2 linked regions of the Canis lupus familiaris genome follow. The protein of the gene in region 1 interacts with the protein of each later gene in a biochemical or structural test. Links are inferred from orthologs where the notes say so. Each region holds a gene or a part of one and is shown on either strand. Other genes may lie near its edges.

The links.
Region 2: the proteins of NR4A3 (region 1) and SIX3 form a complex in vitro, tested with the Homo sapiens proteins (3 studies listed by BioGRID). The link is inferred for Canis lupus familiaris from reciprocal best matches to the Homo sapiens genes NR4A3 and SIX3.

The regions. Positions count from the first base shown.
Region 1 is NC_049232.1:57,140,067-57,150,981, forward strand, and holds the start of NR4A3 (nuclear receptor subfamily 4 group A member 3), read left to right. Parts: upstream 1-4,282; 5' UTR 4,283-4,741; intron 4,742-6,297; exon of another isoform or gene 6,298-6,480; intron 6,481-6,537; exon of another isoform or gene 6,538-6,805; intron 6,806-8,016; 5' UTR 8,017-8,190; intron 8,191-9,095; 5' UTR 9,096-9,167; intron 9,168-10,480; 5' UTR 10,481-10,482; coding exon 10,483-10,915. UniProt on the Homo sapiens protein: Transcriptional activator that binds to regulatory elements in promoter regions in a cell- and response element (target)-specific manner.
Region 2 is NC_049231.1:48,391,794-48,402,608, reverse strand, and holds part of SIX3 (homeobox protein SIX3), read right to left. Parts: intron 10,672-10,815; exon of another isoform or gene 8,033-10,671; intron 7,994-8,032; exon of another isoform or gene 7,932-7,993; intron 4,709-7,931; coding exon 3,883-4,708; intron 1,996-3,882; coding exon 1,836-1,995; coding exon of another isoform or gene 1,803-1,835; exon of another isoform or gene 1,784-1,802; intron 1-1,783. UniProt on the Homo sapiens protein: Transcriptional regulator which can act as both a transcriptional repressor and activator by binding a ATTA homeodomain core recognition sequence on these target genes.

The sequences.
Region 1 (10,915 bases):
CAATCTTTGCATTAGTAAGACTCATCCTCATTCTTTGTGTATTAGCAAGATCAACAACATTATATATTATTGCTTAATCAGAAGAGCATTTAAAGCAATTTTTTAAATCCCATTTTGTTAAAGCAATTGTTTTCTATCACACACAATAAACTTCCCTCAAATTTCATATTTTATTTTCCAAGAGAAAGAGCACTTTTTCTTTTCTTGCAGACTACACCTAGGAAACCGAAACAAAATGAAAGGTTATTTATTATCCAGTGAATCTGTAATAGTTACTTCATAGAGTTTTTAACAGATTGGCTGCCATAAGTATCATGAAAACAGAAACTAACTGCTTTCTTTGCTTTGTGTGTGTAAACTAGGCCACATGTGAATGCCCCTCTTCTAGAAAAAAGACCAAACCAGGTAAGTTTTCAACATTTCATAGATTAAGGTCGTCTTATTCTGTTTGATTTCCCAAAAGAAGAGCTCTCATTATAAAGTATTAAGTTTCATTTAATACAAAATAGTCATCGGAAAGGTAACTTAGATTGCTGAAAGTCCTATTACATATGCCTTACAGAATATTAATGTGTGATCCCCAGTAGATCAAACTTATGAAAAGGTACAGAACAATAGATGGTAACTAAAAAAAAAAAAAAAAAAAGAGAAGAAAGAAGAGAAGAATTCATTTTGTTTCAAGAATTGCACAGGTTTAGGGACCCAGGATTAAGGAGAGGATGGTGTCCCAGTTTGCAAGAGAGCCTTGTCTCTGCTTCCATGACTCTCCATTTGAGTGCAAAAATGTTGCCACTTATCAGTGACCACTGGAACCTCTCCAACAGGCAGTCCAGCTTCCTACCCAGAGGAGCACTAAGCCAGCTGATTGGCTCAGGGCAATCAGACAACAGCCCTCAGCCCAGCAGCAGTCAAGGAACAAAGATTGGCGACCCGATACTCAGGAAGGAAAGGATGCAAACGAGGCGAGGGGTGGGGGAAAAGCACAGAATCAACCAATAGAGATGTCCTGAAAGACTCACCCACTCAAATAAAGAAATGCTTATACCTGGAGATATTTGGCCAGGGATGGATTTTTCTTTTTTTCTTTTTTAAAGTTAAACAAGGATAAAGGTTTAAAACCGTCACTGGAGGAGCCTAATTCGTATGAAAACACTTGGTAGCTGCTTCACAACTACCTTGAGTGGGCAAGGGACCTTTTTATATATATAACGTTTGGAAAATGGAGTTTATTCAATAAATCCATCAAAAGATATCCTGTTTCCTACAAACTGTACCTAATTTTAGGGTTCCTGCTTCACAGTGATTCCAGTTCTGCGTGAGATTTCAAACTGAAGAGGTACCGGGAGGGGTGCAGAGCCCATGAAATTTTTACAGCATGGAAATAAAAAGTATTTTTAAACCTTCTAAGGGGTGAAGAATTAGACAAGAAGCAATACGTGGAAACTGTCAAGTGCTTCTCTACACACACACACCCACCCACCCACCAGATACCATCGCAGCCGGGTAGGGGAGTCTCCCTCTCCTTGCCTGACAGCTTCACTTTCTTTGAGGTCTCGAGCTGGTGATCACACTGGCCCGTCATGGTATTTTCAGTTAACAAAGCAGTTACTCAACAGGGGAAAAAGCCACAAAGGAGCAGAGCAGCTGCTGCTGCACCCGTGATGCAAGTGCAGGATGAGCCCCGGGCCGCCACCGCCGCCTCGGCTCCTCCGTGACGTCCGGGAGGGGTATCCCCGGCTCTCAGGAAGCGGTGGCCGCGGGCGGCTCCGCCCCCACGCGACTCGGGCTGGCCGGGCCGCCGCGCGCCAGGGCTGCCCCGCGAGCTGGCAGGCGGCGGCGGCGGCGGCGGCGGCGGCGGCGGCGGCGGCGGCGGCGGCGGCGGCGGCGGCGGCGGCCGCGGCCGGCCGGCACCTGCGCGCGCACCCCGCGGGCCGCGCACCCCGCCGCCGCGCCCGCGCCTCGCCCTCTGCGCCCGGCCCGGCCCGGCCCGGCCCGCGCCCCCTCGCTCCCGAGGCTCTCACCCACTCACCCCGACCCCCTGCGCGGAGCCTGGCCCAGCGCCGCCGGTCACCAGACGGGGTCGAGCCGGGTCCAAGATGGCGACTCCGCCCCCGCCCCCGCCCCCTCCGCACCCCCGGCGGGGTCAGGGCGCCCCCTCACGCGGCGCGCTCGCGCCCGGGGCCCGGCTAAAAATACCCGGGCTCCACTATATTTGGTTCGGCCGGATCCCGGCGCGGCCGCGCGCACTCGGCCCCGCCCCCGCGCCGCGCCCCGCCCCCCGCGCCGCGCCCCGCCCCCTGCGCTCCGCCCCGCCCCGCGCAGCACTGAATGGAGAAAGGGGCGGGGGTGACCGAGGGGAACCTACTCCGCTATCTGCGGCGCGCGCCGGCGGCGAGGCCCGGCCAACCGCCCAATTTAGTAACATCGCCTGCGTCAATCACGCGCCTCCTGTGCGTCAGCGCCGCGCGGCTCCAGGTCCTGCTCCCCTCCACCCCCCCACCCCCCCCCCCCCCCCCCCCGCCACCACCAGCCTTTGAATGGATACAATGTAGCAGCGCCCTCCTTCCTTCCGAGACTGGATTGGAACCCGCGGCGGTGCACGGGCTCGGCTCCCCTCCGCGGGGTCAGCTCTCTCAGCATCCTCCCTCCCACGGTCTTCTCTCCACACCACCCTGCCTGAAGTGGAAGTGGGAGTCGAAGAAATATATCCGTGTCGTATATAGAAATAAAATTAGTTTTGTTTTCAAGTTTCTGGTGCTAATAACTCGAACCTTCTTCCATTCTGAACCGCATGCTGTCGACAATAGGATCCTCTCCCACCCACCCCCCACTGCAAAACACACACACACACACACACACATGCAAACACTGGGACGTGTCAAAGAAATAGAATATCACGTGTGATTTAAGCGGACCGCATGGAGACCATGCCTGTCTGCGACGTTGCACTCAACTATTTTATCCCCCTTAAGAATTCATATCTGAGAGAGGTTGCTTTTCACTCAGCTGCACTTTGGAACTAAGAGACAGACTTTAACTTTGATAAATTTTTGTTTCTGTTTGCAGCAAGAAATTCACACTTAAATTCATCATTTCCAGGAAGAAATTGCTCTCCTTCACACAGTCGCCCAAGCTTTCAGCACACCATTTCATGACAAATGTGTCCCAGTAGAAGAGAGCAAATCCCATGGCGAGGAACTGACTAATAAATCCTGTTGATTGATTTCGAAATGTTTAATTTGGGAGATTGGAGGGGGGGGCAACCATGAAAAAGTGAAAGTGCGAGCTGAGATTTCCATTTCTGCGGGGTGGGGGTGGGGGGAATGATTTGCAACAGTCAGACCCGGTCAGCTGTTCAACACGTGTGTGTTTGTTTTACACACATTAAGTAGTTTCTGCGGCAGCGCGCACGTGGATGATGGATGTGCACTCAGTTGGCTTATTGTGGGTCCAGTTAGGAAATCCACACCTTAGCATAAAGAAATAAAACCTTATCTTCCCGGAGGCATCTGCATCCCTGTGCGAAACACGCACTCAGCAAATGATGCGAGGAGGAGCTGGATTAGCCTAGACGCTGCGGGCCAGCGAGACTTAAACAGCCTTGGAACTGTTGCTTGAGGAAAGCGCAGCTGCATGCACCTCGGAGAGTCTTCGGGCCGGTGCCTGACTCCTGCACCGGCTGCCAGGTCACTCGGAGAAGCTGGCTGGCGGAGCCTTCCCTTTCGGAAGAGCTGTCCTCTCCCTTACCCCCTCTCCCTGGCTCCGTGCCTCGGGGCAGCCTCGGAGGCGCGCCAGCCGCACTCCTCCAACACTACTCCACCCGAGCCTGACAGCTGGGCGGTCCCGCCTGACCCGCCGGCGGGCCGCTGCACCCTCCGGCAGACTCGCGCCCTGGCGAGCAGCGCCGCTGCAGAGGGGTTGGCGGCTCGGCTCCCAAAGGCCCCCCTGCCGGGCTTGGCCGCGCGGCGCAGTTTCCATTGTGCAGCCCGGAGAATGGTCCGGGAACGCGCGCGCGCACACACATGCACACACACACGCACACACACACACACACACACCCTCCCTCGCACACGCGGAACCGGCTGGGCCAGGGGAGGGAGGGGGAGGGTGACGTAGCGTCCCATGGCGTCACATTGACGTCTCGCATTCCAGGCACTCTATGGAGAGGCCGCTAGGGCTCCTGTGGCATAAATGACGTGCCGAGAGAGCGAGCGAACGCGCAGCCGGGAGAGCGGAGTCTCCTGCCTCCCGCCCCCCACCCCTCCAGCTCCTGCTCCTCCTCCGCTCCCCACACACAGACAGGCTCACACCCGCTCCCTCACTCGCACACACAGACACGCGCGCACACAAGCTCCGCACACACACTCCACTCTCTCCCGCGCGCTCACACCCCTCTCGCCCTGCGCCCTTGCCGGTGCAGAGCCGCGCGGCAGCCGGACGCCCCTCCCGGACTCACTTTGCAACGCTGACAGCGCCGGCGGCGGCCTCGGAGGTGGGAACTGCGGCGGCATCCTGCCCCCGGGCCGTGGCCGCAGCCAGGACGCCCGCGGAACCCCTCGCCGGCACTCTCCCATGAGTCGGGATCGCAGCATCCCCTGCCAGACGCTCACCGCCTCTGGGAGCCGCTGGGCTGGTTCACGGCAGCCCTTCCGGGACAGCAGCTGTGACTCCCCCCCCAGTGCAGATTTCGGGGCAGCTCTCTAGAAACTCGCTCTAAAGACGGAACCGCCACAGCACTCAAGTACGTATGAGATTCGCCCAGTGAATTGGGGGACTTGCTAAAAAGTTGGCGCGCTGGGAAGCGTCGCTCCTGAATTGACAACTTTGAGTGTGGGTTTTTTTTTTTTTTCCCCCTCGCCTCCTCGCTCCGGCTTCGCTCGCCGAGCGGCCCGGGGGGTTCTGATCTGAAACTTTTCCCCTGTAGCGGGCCCGCGGGGACCTCTGGAGCTCGTGGGATTCCTCCCCCAACCCGAAGAGGCGAAAAGCCTCTAACAAAGAGGAGGACCGGGATTTGTTCAGTAGCAGCTCCAGCGATGTAATTCAGGGTATTTCGGCTCTAGTTGTCATGGTAATGATGCTCTCGGCGGCGGCGGCGGCGGCGGCGGCGGCGGCAGGGAGTTGCAGCTCCGCTGATGAACGGCAGTAATTTTCCTGCCTTTTAACTAGGATTGAAAACAGGGGCTCCGGTGGGTCCAAGTTAATATACCTAATGGTGACTCCCAGCCGGTTGACTCGGGGGAAGCTGGAGAGGGAAGGGGCCTGGGCAGCGGTGGTTGGAGTTTGCAAAGGCGCTCGGATGATCTCTGGAAAGAGGGCGTAATTGTAGGAATGTGGCTTTATTGTATTGAAATGAGCCTGGGGCTCCACTAGGCACGTCTGCCTGGCGTAGCCTACTTGCCCGTGTGCACTTTTCCCTTCAGAGGTAATAGGCTGTAATTGCTGACTCCCGAGCCCGGCCACGCGTGGGGATCGTGTTCCTTTCCTTCGGGCCTTGGCTTGGTGTGGGAATGTTTTACTCTTAAGTGACGGAACTCGCGCTTTTGGAGAAGTTGCTCCGAGTGTTTTACTCTTAATAAGAATAAATGAAAGTTCTCAGTGCTGCGGGGAGAGCGGTTATGAGAGCGCAGCCTGCGGACAATGACTTCCAAAGGCACCTCCCGAGCCGGTTGGAAGCTTGGGTCAGGACTAAGAGAGAAAGCGTTTGTCCCTTGATTCTAAAGGACGTTCCTGGAGATTGCCTTTTATTTAATGCCTTCGGATTCGTGAGAGGGAAGAGCGGCAAGGAGTTTGGTAATCAGAAATGTCGGGCTGTCATCCCAGAGCCTTAGGGTGCCAGGAGACAGAGGTAAAGGGCAAATCCGTCCTGGATCTTCTATTCCCACGATGGAGAAATATTTTACAGAACTGAGTTGGGGAAGCAAAAAGCTGCCCAACGCGGCTACCGGGCACAATGAATGAAGTCAGAGTTCCCTTGACTTATCTTACCTGTGCGAGGTGCTCCTAGCGTGAATATCAAAGACTCCTCCTCGGGCCAAGCCACCTCCACGCCGGCTCCCTCCCCAGCCCCCACCCCCCGCACCCACCCACTCCCTTCCCCGCGACCGCGCGCGCTCGCAGAAATTCTCCCCCGCGGTTTGTCTCCTCTCCCTCGGTCTTTCTGAGAATCTCTGTCTTTCCCTTTCTGTCGGTCTCTCCTTCACTCCTACGGCCCCCGCCCAACCTCCGCCCCCGCTCCCCAGGGTTGGAAACTCCGCGGAGGAGCCCCGGTCACAATGGTGCGTTTCACGGTTTCCTCCACACACTTCACCACGGGGAGGGGAACATGGGGGTGTTCCTTTCGTCTGCCCACGAGAAAGAAAGGAGCTTTGACAGAGGTGGTTATTTCTACCTAATTTACAACCCCAAGGCTCGGTGCTCCGGCCCCGGCGGCCGCGAGCGGGAGCGGCGGAACGTGTTTCCAGGCGCGGAGGCTTTGCCTAGGTAACCGGCCATGGGAGTGGGCGGGGGGGGGGGGGGCGTGGGGCTCTTGGCTCGGCTGTAGGAAACGTGGTGTGGCTCTTTCCCGCGAACACCCGGCGCTCGAGGGGAGCCCTTTCCTAGAGGAGACTCAACCCTCACCCGGCGGAGTCAGAGGCCGAACCTCGGAGAAAGGACCCAGGGGAGGGCAGGAGTGAGGGCACCTACTGCAGGAGGTGGTGGCAGGGTGCTGGAGACCTGTATTGAAAATTCGGGGCGGACGGGAAGCTCCTGCCACAGCCGTGGGAAGATCCGCGCGTGCTTGCGCTACAGCGAGCGCAAGATTTCCGTAGGATCATCTGGGGCAGGGCAGGGGCTGGGGGTGACAAGGGAATCCCCCGTTTCCTGGCTTTCGAGGGCTTACCGGACCTGGGGGTTCCGATGTCCCCTCCCTCTCTTCCTTCGGGCAAGCCCCTGGCGCAGGGGCGGAGGGGGACGAAACTTACACGCCCCTCTCGGCCCGCGCACCCCCGCGATTTTGGGGGGTTGTGTTTTGTTTTTTGGGTTGGTTTTGTGTTTTGTTTTGTTTTTGTTTTTTTTTTTCGGTTTCATGTTCCCAAGCCTCAAGATATGAACGGGTCCAGGCAAAGAGGGCGCTGTAGGCCAGAGTTTGGGGCAGCGGATCCTTTCCCCCGAGGCCCGCCGAGCTGCGCTTCCAGCTACAAAGTTTCGCTGAGCCTGGGCGCGGAGACGCTCGCCCCGGAGCCGCGCTCGGCGCCCTCCGGAATGTGCCCCCTCGGGGCCGCGGGATGGCCCCGAGCCTCGAAGTCGCCCACCCTCAGGGATACCTCCTGCTGGGTGCAAGGGGCCTCCCTCCGCCCACCCTACCAGCCTGGAACTCCAACTGCCTTGTCCCCTTGTCTCCAGCGCCGGCCTATTTCTACTGTGCCCTTTTGTTTGCTTGACCCCTGGCCCCCGAAACTCGCGGCTAATAGAAGCGAAGCTCCATTAGCATTTAGAATGAAAAGCGCAGACTTTCTTAATTCCTCGGGGCATTCACACATTCGTTCCGGACCTGGTGCATTTCCTATGCAACGTGTAAATTCTGTATTTGGGGAGGAGGGGGGACGGGCAGTGGAGTTGGAAAATGCGCCCTCACTGACCACACGAATTCCGTCGAAACTCTTCCTCAGGTGCCCCTTCTGTGGTTTTCCTGACTTAGCGAGCTCAGAGCCAATTGTGGGGACAGAGAGATCAATTGCTGGGCGATGACAGGATGCACGTATTTTTAGCCTAGGTTTGGGTGCCACAAAACGGTGGTGAGCGCAGTGGGTGCCTGACAACCTTTCTGTGGCTCCCCCCAAGGCGGCTGGTCGCTTCTGCCCAGGGACTCCGTTCACCTTAAGAACTGCTTCCTTACCCTTTTAATTCTTTGTAATCAACGTAGCATTCATAGAGACCCCCTACCAAACCACCCTCTCCTGATACGCCCAGCCCAGGCCACGACGACCACCAGCCTGGTCTCACTTTGAGCTCTGTCCTCTCTCCCGGTGCCCGCAGAGCCTACTGCGGAAGAGCGCAGTCCGGCAAGCCCTAGCCCTGAGCCTGGACCCTCCGCGGAGCCAGGCAGCACTGCCACCGCTTCCCCTCGCCGGACGTCTCCGCCTCCTACCCTCTCAGCCTCCGCTGGAGAGACCCACAGCCCCACCATTCAGCGCGCAAGATATCCTCCAGGTAGGTCTAAAGGCGCGACCCCTTATTCCTTCCAGGTTGGGAGAGGTGGGGGTTGGGGGGAGCCACGCACCCAGCAGGCAGGCTGTTCAACTTGCGCAGGGCCAGGACAGTGACTGCTGGCCACGTATTTCACAGCACAGGTGGCTTCTTTGCACGAAGCTCCTCTGGATACCACACCCTGTTGCTACCTAGTGGAGCAGCCAGATTAAATTACGCGTTGCATTTCTCAAAAATAGGTTTCCTAAGAAAAAAAATGTAATACGCCAAGAGATTAGGATCTTTCTATACATTTTAATGTCTTCATTTTTGCTCTCCTTTTATATCCAGTTCATAAATGTAAAAGTTATGGGATCGCTTTGAGCAATACAGGGCATTTATGTTTGTATAGAACCTAAATCATTTGATGCAGAAGTTTGGATTGTTGAAGCTCAGAGGAAAAGAGAAAAAGCATTTAAGCTGAAAACCAAGGAGTAAATTCGAGTTGGGCAAAAAGAGAGGATTGCAGGTTTGGCTTGTAACACCTCTTTATGCATTTCTTAAACAGATACCAAGTGCCTGGACTGTGTAGTCGCCAAAGATATGCATCTAAATAGAACTTAGTACCAAGCAAACTCATATTCTAGCTGGAAACCTAAGAAAGACACAAGGAAGAGTAATACATAGGGATTGGCAAGGAAAGATGACAGAAGACTGATGGAGAAATCCTAGAGGGGCTGAAGGAAGGAGAATAGATGGAACATTGGGCTGGGCCGTGTTCTTTCTTTTAAATATTTAGCCTTTCATTTCACCCCAACAACAGGACAGCAGGATAACTAATCCTTGACCTTCAAACTAGTGTTTTTAAGGCCCTTCTTGGAAAGTGAAGGCTTGAACTGGCCTCTCCTTATCACTGCTTCTTCCAACAGGCCCTCATCACCTTTTTTCAAGTCAAGATTTCATCCCATACACGCATGACTCAATCAGATTTGGAAATGTGGGTAAGAGAAAGATGTCAAAGGAAATGTGAAGTACACACTTTTTTTTTTTTTTATTAGTCACATCTTCTATACCATAGACTCCAAACAGAGGTTAAGCACCTGCTGTTCCTTTGGTTCAGAAAAACCAACCACTAGCAACTGCCCATTTTATCATTTCTAGTTAGCCATAGAGAAAGGGAAATAATTAGATAAAATCAGATCCAATAATTCTCAAAGCCTTCTCATCCAACTCAACCTCTCTGAACAATAATAAGCATCCTGGATACTAGCCCCTTTTGGTGGCTCAACATACAGTCAACTGGAAGAAAAACTAAACCTATTAAGGAACTGCTTTCTTTTGTAGAGGTACTAATTCTTCTGTCATAAGAAAAATTGTAGGCTAACTCACCTATTACAGTAGCTGTAAACTGTTGTCTTAAAACAGCCACTGATATATTTGATTAGTCAGAATTAGAATATATATATATATATATATATATATATATATATATATATATATACTGTATATGGCAGAGACCACGTTTGGTGGGTGTTTTGTTGCAGCTGCTGATCTTTTTCTTTGCAGATGGCACAAACTCCCCCGAGTCCATTTCCTGGGCCTGTGTTCCCACCCCTCCACCTAGCTGGCTGAAGTCATCAACAGGGGTCCAGTTTGTGTAGGCTGTTAGCTGTGTTTGGAGAAATGGGGAGGGGGTGGGAGAAAGCGACCACAACGTGTGTGGGTGGGCTCAGTTGGCACTCATAAAATGTTAGAATGTCAGACTCCCTTGGCCGGTTAGTCCCACGTAGGACATCCTTTTCTTTTCTTTTCTTTTCTTCTTTTTTAACTAACTCATAGATTGCTAAATCAGTGTGTGTGAGTTGGGGCACCAGTGGCCTCTTTCCCCCAAAAAATAAACTAACGGAGCATTCCCTGGCATCTTTTTGTCCTCCCAACTTGTGGCTGAGACCATCCCCAATTAGTTTACAGGGCTCAAAACCGCTCTGTCAAAACATCACCGGGCTCATGAAGGAAGGGATCCAATTTCCCCAGATCTGGTGAAGAACAAGGGCAAGGGAAGGAAGGTGGGCAGAGGCCCCCAGGAAGCCTGCTTTTGGCATCTGTGGCCCCTTTGACAGTCTGTCAGGGATTCTGCTTTCCTCCCAGGGAAGACAAGGAGTATGAAGCTTTTCAATCTAAGCCACCAGGAGGAGGGGAAAGATGTCACTTCCTCTCCCATTTTCCAGATCAGGGAGCAATGAATCCAGTGCTACCTGTCCGCTAGGAGAGAGTGCTGACTTGACTCTGAGAGACCCTGTTCCCTGTCCTGCAGATATGCCCTGCGTGCAAGCCCAGTATAGCCCTTCGCCTCCAGGTTCCAGTTATGCGGTGCAGACCTACGGCTCGGAATACACCACGGAGATCATGAACCCCGACTACGCCAAGCTGACCATGGACCTGGGCAGTACTGAGATCACGGCCACCGCCACCACGTCCCTGCCCAGCTTCAGTACTTTCATGGAGGGCTACTCGAGCAACTACGATCTCAAGCCCTCCTGCTTGTACCAAATGCAGCCGTCGGGGCCGCGGCCCCTGATCAAGATGGAGGAGGGCCGGGCGCACGACTACCACCACCACCACCACCACCACCACCACCATCACCACCACCAGCCGCCGCAGCCGCAGCCGCCGCCGCCGCCGCCGCAGGCGCAGCCGCAGCCGCCGCCGCCGCCGCCGCCGCCGCAGCCGTCCATCCCGCCGCCGTCCG
Region 2 (10,815 bases), on another chromosome or scaffold:
CTCTCTCTACCCTCCCTACCCTGGCCACTATGGTTGCCCCCAACTCCACTTGGGCAAAAAGAAGACAAAACCTGTCAACTCTGCTCTGGATAGGTGGATTGTTGGTTTGATGACCTTGTGTGTTTACCCTTAAAAACACACACACACAAAATCCAACAACAACAACCAGAAGATGCCAAACACACCCCCCCAAAGACCCACAGGGCCGCAGCAGGCTAGAATTCATGCGGATCTCGGCCTGGCATCTCCTTCTGAAGAAACCGGCGGGAGCCCCCCTCCCCTCTGCGCCCTCGGAGCCTTTCGTTCCAGATTTGGCTCCGGTTCTCCTCCGGAGGGCCTGTTCCCATCTCTCCCCCGCCACCCACACCCCCACCATCTCCAAGGAAAAGCTCCTACCCAGCCTTAAAATGCTGCCCCAGCTCGAGTGGCGCAGGGAGTCGGAGTGGAAGTGAAGGCCGGGCGCTGCTCGAACAAAAATACCAGTCTCGGGGAGTGATAAGAAAATGGAGAATACTGTATTTGCTTTAGAAAGTTTTTACATATAGATAAACACGCAGTTAAGATAACAGTAAAAGCGCCCTACGGGGAGTGAGAGATATCTCCAAAGCAGCTAAGAAATACTTGAAATAGCTTTTGCATAAGAATACTACGGACTCACTCTCCGCTTCCGCTAGCGACGGGGTCCCTCGTCCTAACCCAGCCCGCCACGCCACGCCTTGACTGCCAAGTCGACGCCAGGAACACCGAGTGGGAGGGGAACCCCAAAAAGGAAAGAGACAGGTGAGCGGGGAGGGAGGCAGGGGGTGGGGGGGAAGAGAATGAAAAAGGAAGAGGAGAAAAAGCAATATCATATACAGGCAATTTCTACACATATATTACAAACTGGGAAAATGACCGATCATTAAGATATACATAATTCATATAAAATTTTGAAATAAAAATAAAAATCTGTTACAGTCATAACTATTCTTTTTCCACATTTATAACCAGTACCCACACAGGCAGTGACAGAGTGGAGAGAAAAAGGTGCTTACGAAGAAAATGATTGTCTGCTGAACAAAAAACAGAAGATTGCATCTTGTTTGACCAATACTTGGACTTAAAAACAGAGAAAGAAAGAGAGCGAGAGAGGAAAAAAGAGAGAGCGAGCAACAAAAGGCGAGAAACATTTGCTATTTCCCTCTCGAGGAGTTCTTTTTTTTTTTTTTTTTAACAAATTCTGAACGGAGATGGCGGTTTTATTTTTTTTTTCTCTTTTTGTCTGTTTTGCTTTTGTCGTCTTGTCGTCGTGGTGGTGGTCGGTTTTTGTATAGTCGACTCTTTTTTAAATCGTTTTAAACTAGAGAGAATATTTTCCCAGATACAAATAAATCGTCATGCAGGTGGGGTGCCGGGTCCGTGGGAACCGAAAGGAGAAGCCGTGCTTGTCCTAGAAAGTATACAATTGTCACCTCTTTTATGTTTTCTGCCCGCAACATCAGCGTTTGTAACTGTCTGTTGGCGTCGCGGTCCTTTGGGGTGGCCGTGGTGGTAGATGGTGGTTGGGGTTGTTGATAGTTTGCGTTTAATTTGTTATTTTTCTTGGTTTTTTATATATTTTTGGCTGGGGTGGAAGTGTGTGTGTGTGTGTACTTGTGTGTGTGTGTGTGTGTGTATGATTGTGTATCCTGATTTCGGTTTGTTCTGGGTATGGAGGAGGAAGAAGAGGAAGAGGAGGAGGGCGAGGAGGAGGAGGAGGAGGAGGAGGAGGAGGAGGAGGAGGAGGGGAAGGAGGGGGAGGGGGAGGAGGGCGGCCTTGGCTATCATACATCACATTCCGAGTCGCTGGAGGTTACCGAGAGGATGGAGGTGCCGGTGTCCGCGCGCTCCGTCAGGCTGGACACGCTGGTGGTGGGGCTGGCCGCCGTGGACGGCGACTCTGCCGAGCCGTGCGTGGGGCAGCCGGGCTCGGCCAGCGAACGCATGCCGCTCGGTCCGATGGCCTGGTGTTGGAGCCTGCGGGAGACAGAGAGCCGCACCAGCCCTGACACGGCGGCTCCGCCACCGGGCTCGTCAAGCCGCCTCCCCGCGCCCGCGGCCGCCGGGCTCCCCAGCCTCCCAGCCTCCCCAGCCGCGCGCCCTCCGCCACCACCCCGACTCGGCTCCCTGCGCTCATTTCTCGCCCCCTTCCCCTGCCTCCAAGCACCCCACCACTCGTTGAACGCCGCAAAGCCCCCCCCCCAGCGCGGGTCTGGGCTCTCTTCTCTCCTTCCCGGGGCTCTTCGGGGCTCCCCAAGGCTTCCCAGTTCGCAGCCGGCCTCCGAGGAGAGGTAGGACCCGAGGCCGGCCTCCTGGGGAGGCCCCGGGAGCACAGCGCAGGACTCGGAGCCCCAAGATGCCCAAGTCCGAGAGGGACAGGGTGCTTCTTGCTCTCCCGCCCCGGGGACTCTTCAGACTGAACCGGGTGGCCCAGCGGCGGGTGGCCACAGTGGCTCCCGCCCCAGCTCCCCCAACACACCCAGAGCTGTGGGTTGCTCACCCGCAGCCTCTCCCCAGTAGGACCCGCTGGCTTTGCTCTCTGGCTCCCTGTGCTGAGCGCAGGAGCAGGGCTAGAGAGAACGGAGAAGCCGGAAGCGGAAAAAGTGGGGAAGAGGTGCAAGAGAGAAAGGAGAGAGAAGGCGGCAGGAGGGGGGTGTGCAGAGCAGTCTCCGTCTTCCCCTTTCCCCGCACCAGGCAGCTGCTGCCGGAGCCTAGTCTCTGAGTTCCCACAAGGAGGCCTTGCCCTGGTCCTGGGCACTCCCCCTCTCAGACGAAAAACTGGCTCGGCGGGCACGGGTGAGAGGGCCTAGGGCTCAGGCCTGGGCCACCTGAACGCAAACACACTCACTCACTCCAGGAACTCAGCCCTGGCCTCCAGCCCCTGGCAGCTGTCAGCAGCTGGGGCCCTGCTCCCTGCCGTACACCAGGCCCAGCGCCTGCGCAGGCTAGGTAGGGGCGCGGGCTTCTCACCAGGGCTTCTACCCCACTTCCTTCCCCCTTCCCTCCCATTCTTCGCCCCTTCCTCCTCCTCTTTCCCTCTTAGTTCTTTTTCTCCTTACCTTCCCCCAGGCCCAAGTGCGCTGACTGGTGAAGCCCAGACAACTTTATGATTTTGTGGCCAACTTGCTGGCAGTGGGTTTGCTCCTGCTCCTCCTGGCTTCCCAAGTTAGTGGACCAAGGGGATGCTCCTTGACTGGGGCAGGAGGGCTAGCACCTGTGTGCTCGTGTACACACACACACACACACACACACACACACACAAGGCCTCTCTACTTCCCCGCCTGGTTTTCCTGCTCCCACTCAGGCAATTGGCAAAACTGAGGGAAAGAGGCCTGCTCCACAGTGGCCAGCGACCTTTCTTTTTTTCCCTTTGTGGCAGAGACCCCACTGTTCAGTTTCCTTTCCGTGACTTCGTGGATTCCTCTCCGGGTTTTTGCAATGCATAATAATAAGAACCGGTTGGCAAGGACGGCTTTCCTCCCTTCCCTGTCTGCAGGCTGCAGGGGAGTGCGGAGCCGGGCACGGGCTGCGGAGGTGGCACGGGTGCAGCGCGGGGCCAAGGCTCCCGGGGCTGGGACCGGGGGGGCCTGTGGACGGGCGCTCGGGACCTCACACCCCCACACTCTCCACCCTGCCGAAAGCCCCTCTCCGACAAAGAAGTCCATAAGCCCGCCGCCCGGCCCTCTTCTGCGCGTCTGGGCCAGCGGAAACTTTCTCCAACTGGCCAGGGGGTCGCGGCTGCTCGCGCGCCCGGCGGCCCCCGGCCCCCCGCCCCCTCCGCCCCCTCCGCCCCGGTTTCAGCCCCGCTCCCCCCGCTCCGCGGCCCCCCGGAGACGGTAGCCAGGCCGCGGGCCCGCCACTGACCTGTTCTTGGCCGCCGCGGCGCGGTCGCGCTGCCTCCGGTTCTTAAACCAGTTGCCTACTTGTGTGGGGGTGAGGCCGGTGGCCTGCGCCAGTTCGCGTTTCTTGCTGGGGTTGGGGTAGGGGTCCTGCAGGTACCACTCCCGCAGCAGGCTCCGAGTCCGCTCCTTGAAGCAATGCGTCTTCTGCTCGCCGTCCCAGATGGTGCGCGGCAGCGGGAACTTCTTGCGCACGCGGTACTTGTCCACCGGGCCGAGCGGGCGGCCGCGCAGCTTCTCGGCCTCCTGGTAGTGCGCCTCGAGCCACATGGCCTGCAGCTTGCCGTGGGACTCCTTGGTGAACTTGTGGTTCTCCAGAATGTGGTAGAGGTCGCGGAAGTTGCCCGTGTGGAAGGCGACCACGGCGCGCGCGCGCAGGATCGACTCGTGCTTGTTGATGGCCTCGCACGCCCCGGGGGCCACGGGCAGCGACCAGAGGAAGCGGCCCAGCCGCTCGATGTCGCCCGTCTCCTCCAGCGTCTCGCAGACGCTGGCCACCTGCTCCGGCGAGAAGTTGAGGGTGGGCAGCTGGAACATGGACAACTCTTCCGGGGGGGCCCTGGAGCCGCCGCCGCCGCCGCCGCCGCCGCCTGCTCCGCCAGCACCGCCGCCTCCCGCACAGTTCCCGCCGCCGCCGCCGCCGCCCGCGCCGCCGCCGCCGCCGCCGCCCGCACCGTTCCCGCCGCCGCTACTCGCCAGAAGTAGGGAGCGGTGATGAGGATCGGCGAAGTTTGGCAACAAGAAGTGGGAGGAATAGAGGTCTAGGGGGGAGCGGAATACCATGGACTGACCTGAGAGGAGAGGAGAAAATTCAGGGAGAGGAAGAGAGAGGGGAGGAAGAGGAGGAGAGGGGCGATGAGGACCAGGAGGAGGGAGAGGAGAGGGGGGAGGAGGAGAAGGAAAGGAGGGGGGAGCGGGAGGAGGAGGAGGGGGAGGAGGAAGGGCGTAAGGGACACCCACACCCCACACACATCCACACACACACACACCCGCGCAGCCACATAGAGAGGGAGGAAGGAGAGCGGCCCGGTGCGCGCGCGCAGAGAGAGAACCCGAGACAGAGAGAGGGAGAGGGAGAGGGAGAGGGAGAGAAAGAGGAGAGCGAGAGCCAACCACCGCCGAGTCAAGATTCAGCGATTCCACAGCAATCGCCCTAATGACAACAGCCTCATAATATCTCCCCTAAATCCACAGTGAGTGCAGCATTGAAACATTTTGTTTCGCTTTTCTATTGGTCTGCGGCGTGTCGTTGTGGCGTTGCCACGGCAACCGCTGCCAATCACTGTCAGCCCTGCCAATCAATACCGAGAACGTAAGGACGGTTTTACCACTTAGCCAGAGTAGGGGGGAGGGGGAGAGGAGGGAAAGAGGGAGAAGGGGGAGAAAGAGATTTTTTTTTTAATCTTTGCAACTCTTAATCTCGCCACTTCCCCCTCTTTATCTATCTCTCTCTCTCTCCCTCGCTCGTTCTCTCGCTCTCGCTCTCTCTCTCTCTCCCCTCCCCATGTCTCTGAGCTCCCTTTTTCCCTCTTCCCCAAAGAAGTTGATCCAGAAATTCAAAAGGCCATGGACCTAGAGTTGTTGAATGGGATGAGCAATTAAAGGGGGGATTTTGTTGGGATGTAAGAGGCTCCCCACGCCGCATGAAGGCCGAAGGCCAGCCCTCAAGAAGACGCCGAGGGCCGAGGGCCGGCCAAGCAGGCACCGTTTGCACATGGTGTGCACGTCGGGCCGCCTCTTTCTGCCTATGTGAGCACTAATAGTGGCGAGGAAGAAAGAAGAGATGAGATCATGGGGCCCACCACACACTGACCCTGTCTGCTGCTCCCGGGATCCCGAATTTCGAGGGGTAGCTAACGCCTGAGAGCGAGAGGCCAGGACCCAGGGTGTCAGAAGCCGCTCTGGTCTCTCTCGGCCTCAATCGTTGTCCACATTTATCCCACTTTCATCTGCACTGGCTTCTACCCGCTTCTCTTTACTCTGCCCCGGTCAAGAAGTCTTGATTTCTACTATTGCCCTGTATTTTAAAATAACAGTACACTTCTTGTTTTCACCTTGAAAAGCAAGCCACCTCTTTATTTCCCCCCTAGGCTTCAGCTGTGTCCCCTGGGAGCTGACAAGTCTGGAACCCTTTGGAGCCCCCTGACATGTTCGCTACTTCTACTCCTCCAAAGAGCTCTGGATCTGCCTACCAGCCCCAGAAGGACACTCAAACTTATGGAGGCTTCTCCAAAGAAGCAGATAGGCCTGAACATTACGTGTTTGCTCATATTGTAAAGAAAAAAATAATAAAACTAATTTATCTAGGCAAAGTAATGTGACAAGCCTAAAACAGACCGCCAAAGGCCCGTAGAATAGAGAGAGAGTCCTCCCTCCCTCCCTCTGGCCACTGCAACCCTCCCCCCCCCTTACTCTCCCCCCACCCAGGGCCGGTATGGGTATTTATTCTAAGGTATGTTGCTTTTAAGAAGATGTAATCAGCATCTTTAGCGGGGCCTCCCTTTGTGAGGCTTCTGTAACTATGGAAGTGTGATTTACGCAGATTTGTCGGGGTCAGAGACGTCTTTCCCCTGAGCACTGTGTATATTTAGACAGGACTCGGTTTGGTGTTAAAAAGTGTATATTTTGAATGAGTTCACACACAGTAGCCAACAATGCCCACATTGTCGGCCCGTGTACAACGCGTATTGAAACGCAGCGTCCAGACTTCAACTAATCTGCCCTCAATAAAGCTGAAATAATTATCCTAAGCTGCCTTTCCAGAAGAAAAATCATTGAGGAATTCAAAACTCTTTTTAAAAAAAAAAAAAAAAGATCTTTTCTACATTCCGATGCAGATCTGGGGGCGAGGCACCGAGTCCACACCACTTTGGAGATCTCAATGAGGGAGGAGAGAAAGAGATTGAGAGAATTTAAATGGGAAACCTAACGTGACTGGGGCTGTGAGTGTCCCACCCCTAAACCCCGAGCTCGGGCCCTGCTTAGGCCTTGACTCCCGCAGAGCCAGGCCTCCTGGGCAGAGAAGTGCAAGCTGTGATGGATGCTCCACTCTGGCAGAGAGGCTCTGGGCTGGGCCAGGGGGCCTCATGGGCCCCCCATCCCAGCGTCACCCCTGGAAGCCGAGGGTCCCCGGTCCTAAACCCAGTGACGGAGGCAGGGAAATATTCGCTCAAAGGGAAGACCCGCCAAGGCCCACTTCGGGTGATCTCTCCCCTCCAAGTATCTTGCTCCCAACCGTGAGTCCTTTTCCGTTCAGCTTCGAAGCTCTGGGCGGTCGTGCACAGCCGGCCCAGAAAGAGCCCTAAGGTTGGGACACAAAAACAGACGCTTCATCTTTTCTTCCCGATCCCTTTCTCTCGCAGGGGAAGGATTATAGGCTGAGGGGTGGGAGGGGGAAGGGGCAGGAGGAGGAAGCGGGGGAGGAAGGAATGAAAAAGGGGAGGGAGTGGGTATTGTGCCGCGTATGGGGGTAGAATTCCTACGGGTGGGTTTCCGAATATTGTGTTCAACTTTTTGAAAGCAGCTCGTGACCCCCGAAACTGCATCCCCTGGAGCCGAGGACCCAGGCGCCGGGCGGGCGGGTGAACCCAGCCAGTCCCCTCCCCGTCCCCACAACCCCCGCCTCCGGGTGGGGGCGACCCGGCCTCTCCCCGCCGCTCGCCGCCGGGCCAACCCCGGAGGGAGGCTGGGCAGGTGCCGCGGGCTCCGCCGAAAGTGCTGAAATTGAAAACCGTCGCCGCGCGGGGAGAAGTGAGGCCGGTGGGGCTGAGCCTCCGCTCGGCGACACCCCCGGCCCCAGCCCCGGCCGGGGCGCCTGCCGACGCGCCGCACCCCGCCGCACCCCGCCGGCGACTCGGGCGTGCAAAGCCGGGCCGAGGGCGGCTGCGGGGCGCGCAGCGTTGTGCGCTGGGACGGGGCCGGGAGCGGCGGGGCGGGCGGCCAGCCCCGGGCTGTCAGAGACGCCCCGCGCAACCGAGCCCCGCGCCGCCCACGGAGCCCGCCGCGCTGCCCCGCGGCCGCCGGCGCCTCTCCGCTCCGCTCCGGGCCCGAAGCACGACGCCCGCCGCCGGGAGCGCGTAAGTGGAGCGTCCCGAGAGCCGGGAGGGGGAGGCGGGGCGGCCGGCCTTCGGTGGGTGCGGATGGCCGGACTGGCTCCGGGTGGAGCCGGGAGCGCAGGCTCCGTGGGTCCCGGTCAAGGAGCGCGGGCCGAGTGGGGGAGGGGGCTCCGGAGCCCCAGAGCTTCCTCTCCCCAATTCCCAGGCGCTGGGCGCTGGGGAGGGGCGTCGGAGCAGAAGGACCTCGGGCTCCGGGGCCCAGGCGCCTTGCCCGCCGCTCTGGGGGCCCGAAGCACTGGGTAGCGCGAGGGAAGAGGGCTGAGCTGAGCTGGGGGACGTCTGGAGGGGTGGCGCGCGGGGGGGCGCCAGCACCCTGGATCTCTCAGAGAGTGGAGGAGTTTGGGAGGAACGGGTCAGCCCGCGGGGCCCCCCTGGCCGCTCCGACTTCCGGATCTGGGGTTTGGAGCCCGTACAGTCCGAGGTCACAAAATTGCCACCACCGCGTCTGCTTTAATCCTGGGCCAGGCAACTAACTGGCAAGACTGCGTACAGGTGGTGCGGGGAGAAAGGGCGCTTGAGCTGGAGAGTGTGTTTCTCCTACGAGGACCTACTGGGCGTTGATTTACAAAATCAGCCCCAACCCCAGCAGTCTCAACTCCACCCGGAGAGGTGCCTGAGAGACTCAGTCCTTGCTTGCCGTTACCCGGAAAGCCAAGAGGTCCGCAAGCCTCCCGGTTGGAGCAGCTGCACCCACTCGGCCTTGCTCGGCTCCGTGAGGCCAGTTTGTCCTGGGGGGCCCCCAGGACTTCGGGGGGCGGGGGCTGGCCCGGCAGCCCGCGGTTTGGGCCTCCCCGCAAGCTACAATCCGAGGCGCTTGGCGCGGGCGGCCGAGGAGGGCGCAGGGGAGTGCAGCACGTAGGCGGGGAGGCCGCGAAGCCCTTCAAGGACCCCGATTACTTTCCTTTGAATGAAAAACAACAACAACAACAACAACTGCTCCCTCCCTGCGCCCCCGCCCCCCGCCTTAGCCTCCGGGGACCCGCGCTCCGAGCAATTGTCGCCCCGGACAGTAAACACAGCTCAGTTGCCTCAACTTTCTCCGCACATAAAAGTTCCTGGCGTGCGGGGAAATTTGAATATTTGATCAGCCCCTTTGAGTGACCCTCATTAGCTTGGCGCCCTGCTAAGGCCCCGGCATTGCAAGAAAGCTGCTGGGCAAGGCATTTGTATGCCTTGTTAGCGCCGCTTAATGAAGCTGCCCCGACGGCTCAAAGGCGGCCTCCGGGGCCGGCGCTGCGCACCTCTCGGCACCCCACTCTGCCTAATGAGCCCCACCACCCGCGCAAGGCCCCTCCACCCCCCACATCCTCAAACAAGAGAAGTTGGCTCTGTCTTGGCCCACCATACCTCCCACTGCCAGGCCCAGGAGAGTGGGCACAAACCGTTCCCAGCTGGCTGTGGTGACCCAGCCCCAAGAGTGAGAGGTGGGAGGCTTGGGGGTTGTGAGTGATAGGGGCTGGGGAGGAGGGCTGTGGCCTCAGGTCTAGTCCAGGGAGTGCACTGGCAACCTCTCAAGAGGGCCAATTTCCAATCGTTTACTCCAGGTGCATTCGGACCAATGCTGGGGTGGCAGAGGGCAGATGTCTGGGGGAAGGTCAATTTTCAATCTCCCTCCCTTCCCAAGTTTCTTTGGGCTCCACTGCCTAGGAGACCATCAAATCCTTTGCAGAGATCCCCTTGGGAGAGCCAGAACTGGTATGCTAGGGCTTGAATTTGAGAAGGAGTGGGTACACTCAACTCCTCAGACATTGTTGTCCCTCCAACCCGGATCCCAAACAGTCAAATGCAGTTGGCACTACTAGGAAAGGCAATGGCACAACAGCCTACCTTGTCCCACTTCCCCTGCCCCAGAACACCAAGCCTTCTGTGGTCTCTCTTTAATCCTGCTTCCAGTCCTTGGGAAGCTTATAGAAAGCATTTTAGGCAGGGCCACCCTTTTCAGGACCAACTGGCTGCTAGGGCAAGATGGTACTAAAACAGACCTGAGGGCGAGGGAGAGAGGGAGAACTCTTTAAGGTAGGGGCACCAAAGCCACCATCTACTTCTCCTTTTCTCAGTGGGGCAAGTGACACGGTTGGCCAGCAAATCTAAGGAGCCCTATTAAAAGTTGTGTTTCAGTTCTCTGGAAAAGGAGTAGACTCTCTCTGCTCCATCTCTCCTCCAATGCTCATTTCCCTTGGACAGTTGTCACTCAAGGTCCCTCCTTGCACACCCAGTTTTTGGGTTTTTAAGCATCACTTTTGGGGGGGGGAGAGATTAATGCACTGTGTTTAGGAAACAAGCTTCTCTCAGATCCATGCTCTGGGCCTTCTGGAGGTACCCCCCACAGTCCCTCAGATATACAGCAGGCTGGCCAGGTGCCTAGCCTCAGGACCCCATTCCAGGGTGGCCACCTCTAGGAATGAGTGGCACCCAGCCAGCCCTCACCCTCTGCCAAAAAGCCAGCAAGGCCCTGGGATAGCAGAGCCTTCAAAGTCCCTCTGGTCTGCTCCTCTTCCCTTTCCCCCAGCTCAATCGGCTTGCCCCACCCCATTTCCCATCCCAGGACCCCCTAATTCAAGCCCAAACTGAGGATCTTTAGGGATCATCTCTACCCCGGCAAGACGGTGCCTGGGCCTTGATCCATCCAAAGGGCAAAGGTAGGAGCCGACAAGCGAGGAAGGAACGATGCTGGAGAGAAAAGGGACCTGAAGCGGGGGGTAAAACTCAGCCCTATGGCCCTAAGGCCAGGCCCACCAACTGCTCAGGGGAGGAGGTGAAGGGAGGGGGCTAGGAGTCCGCAG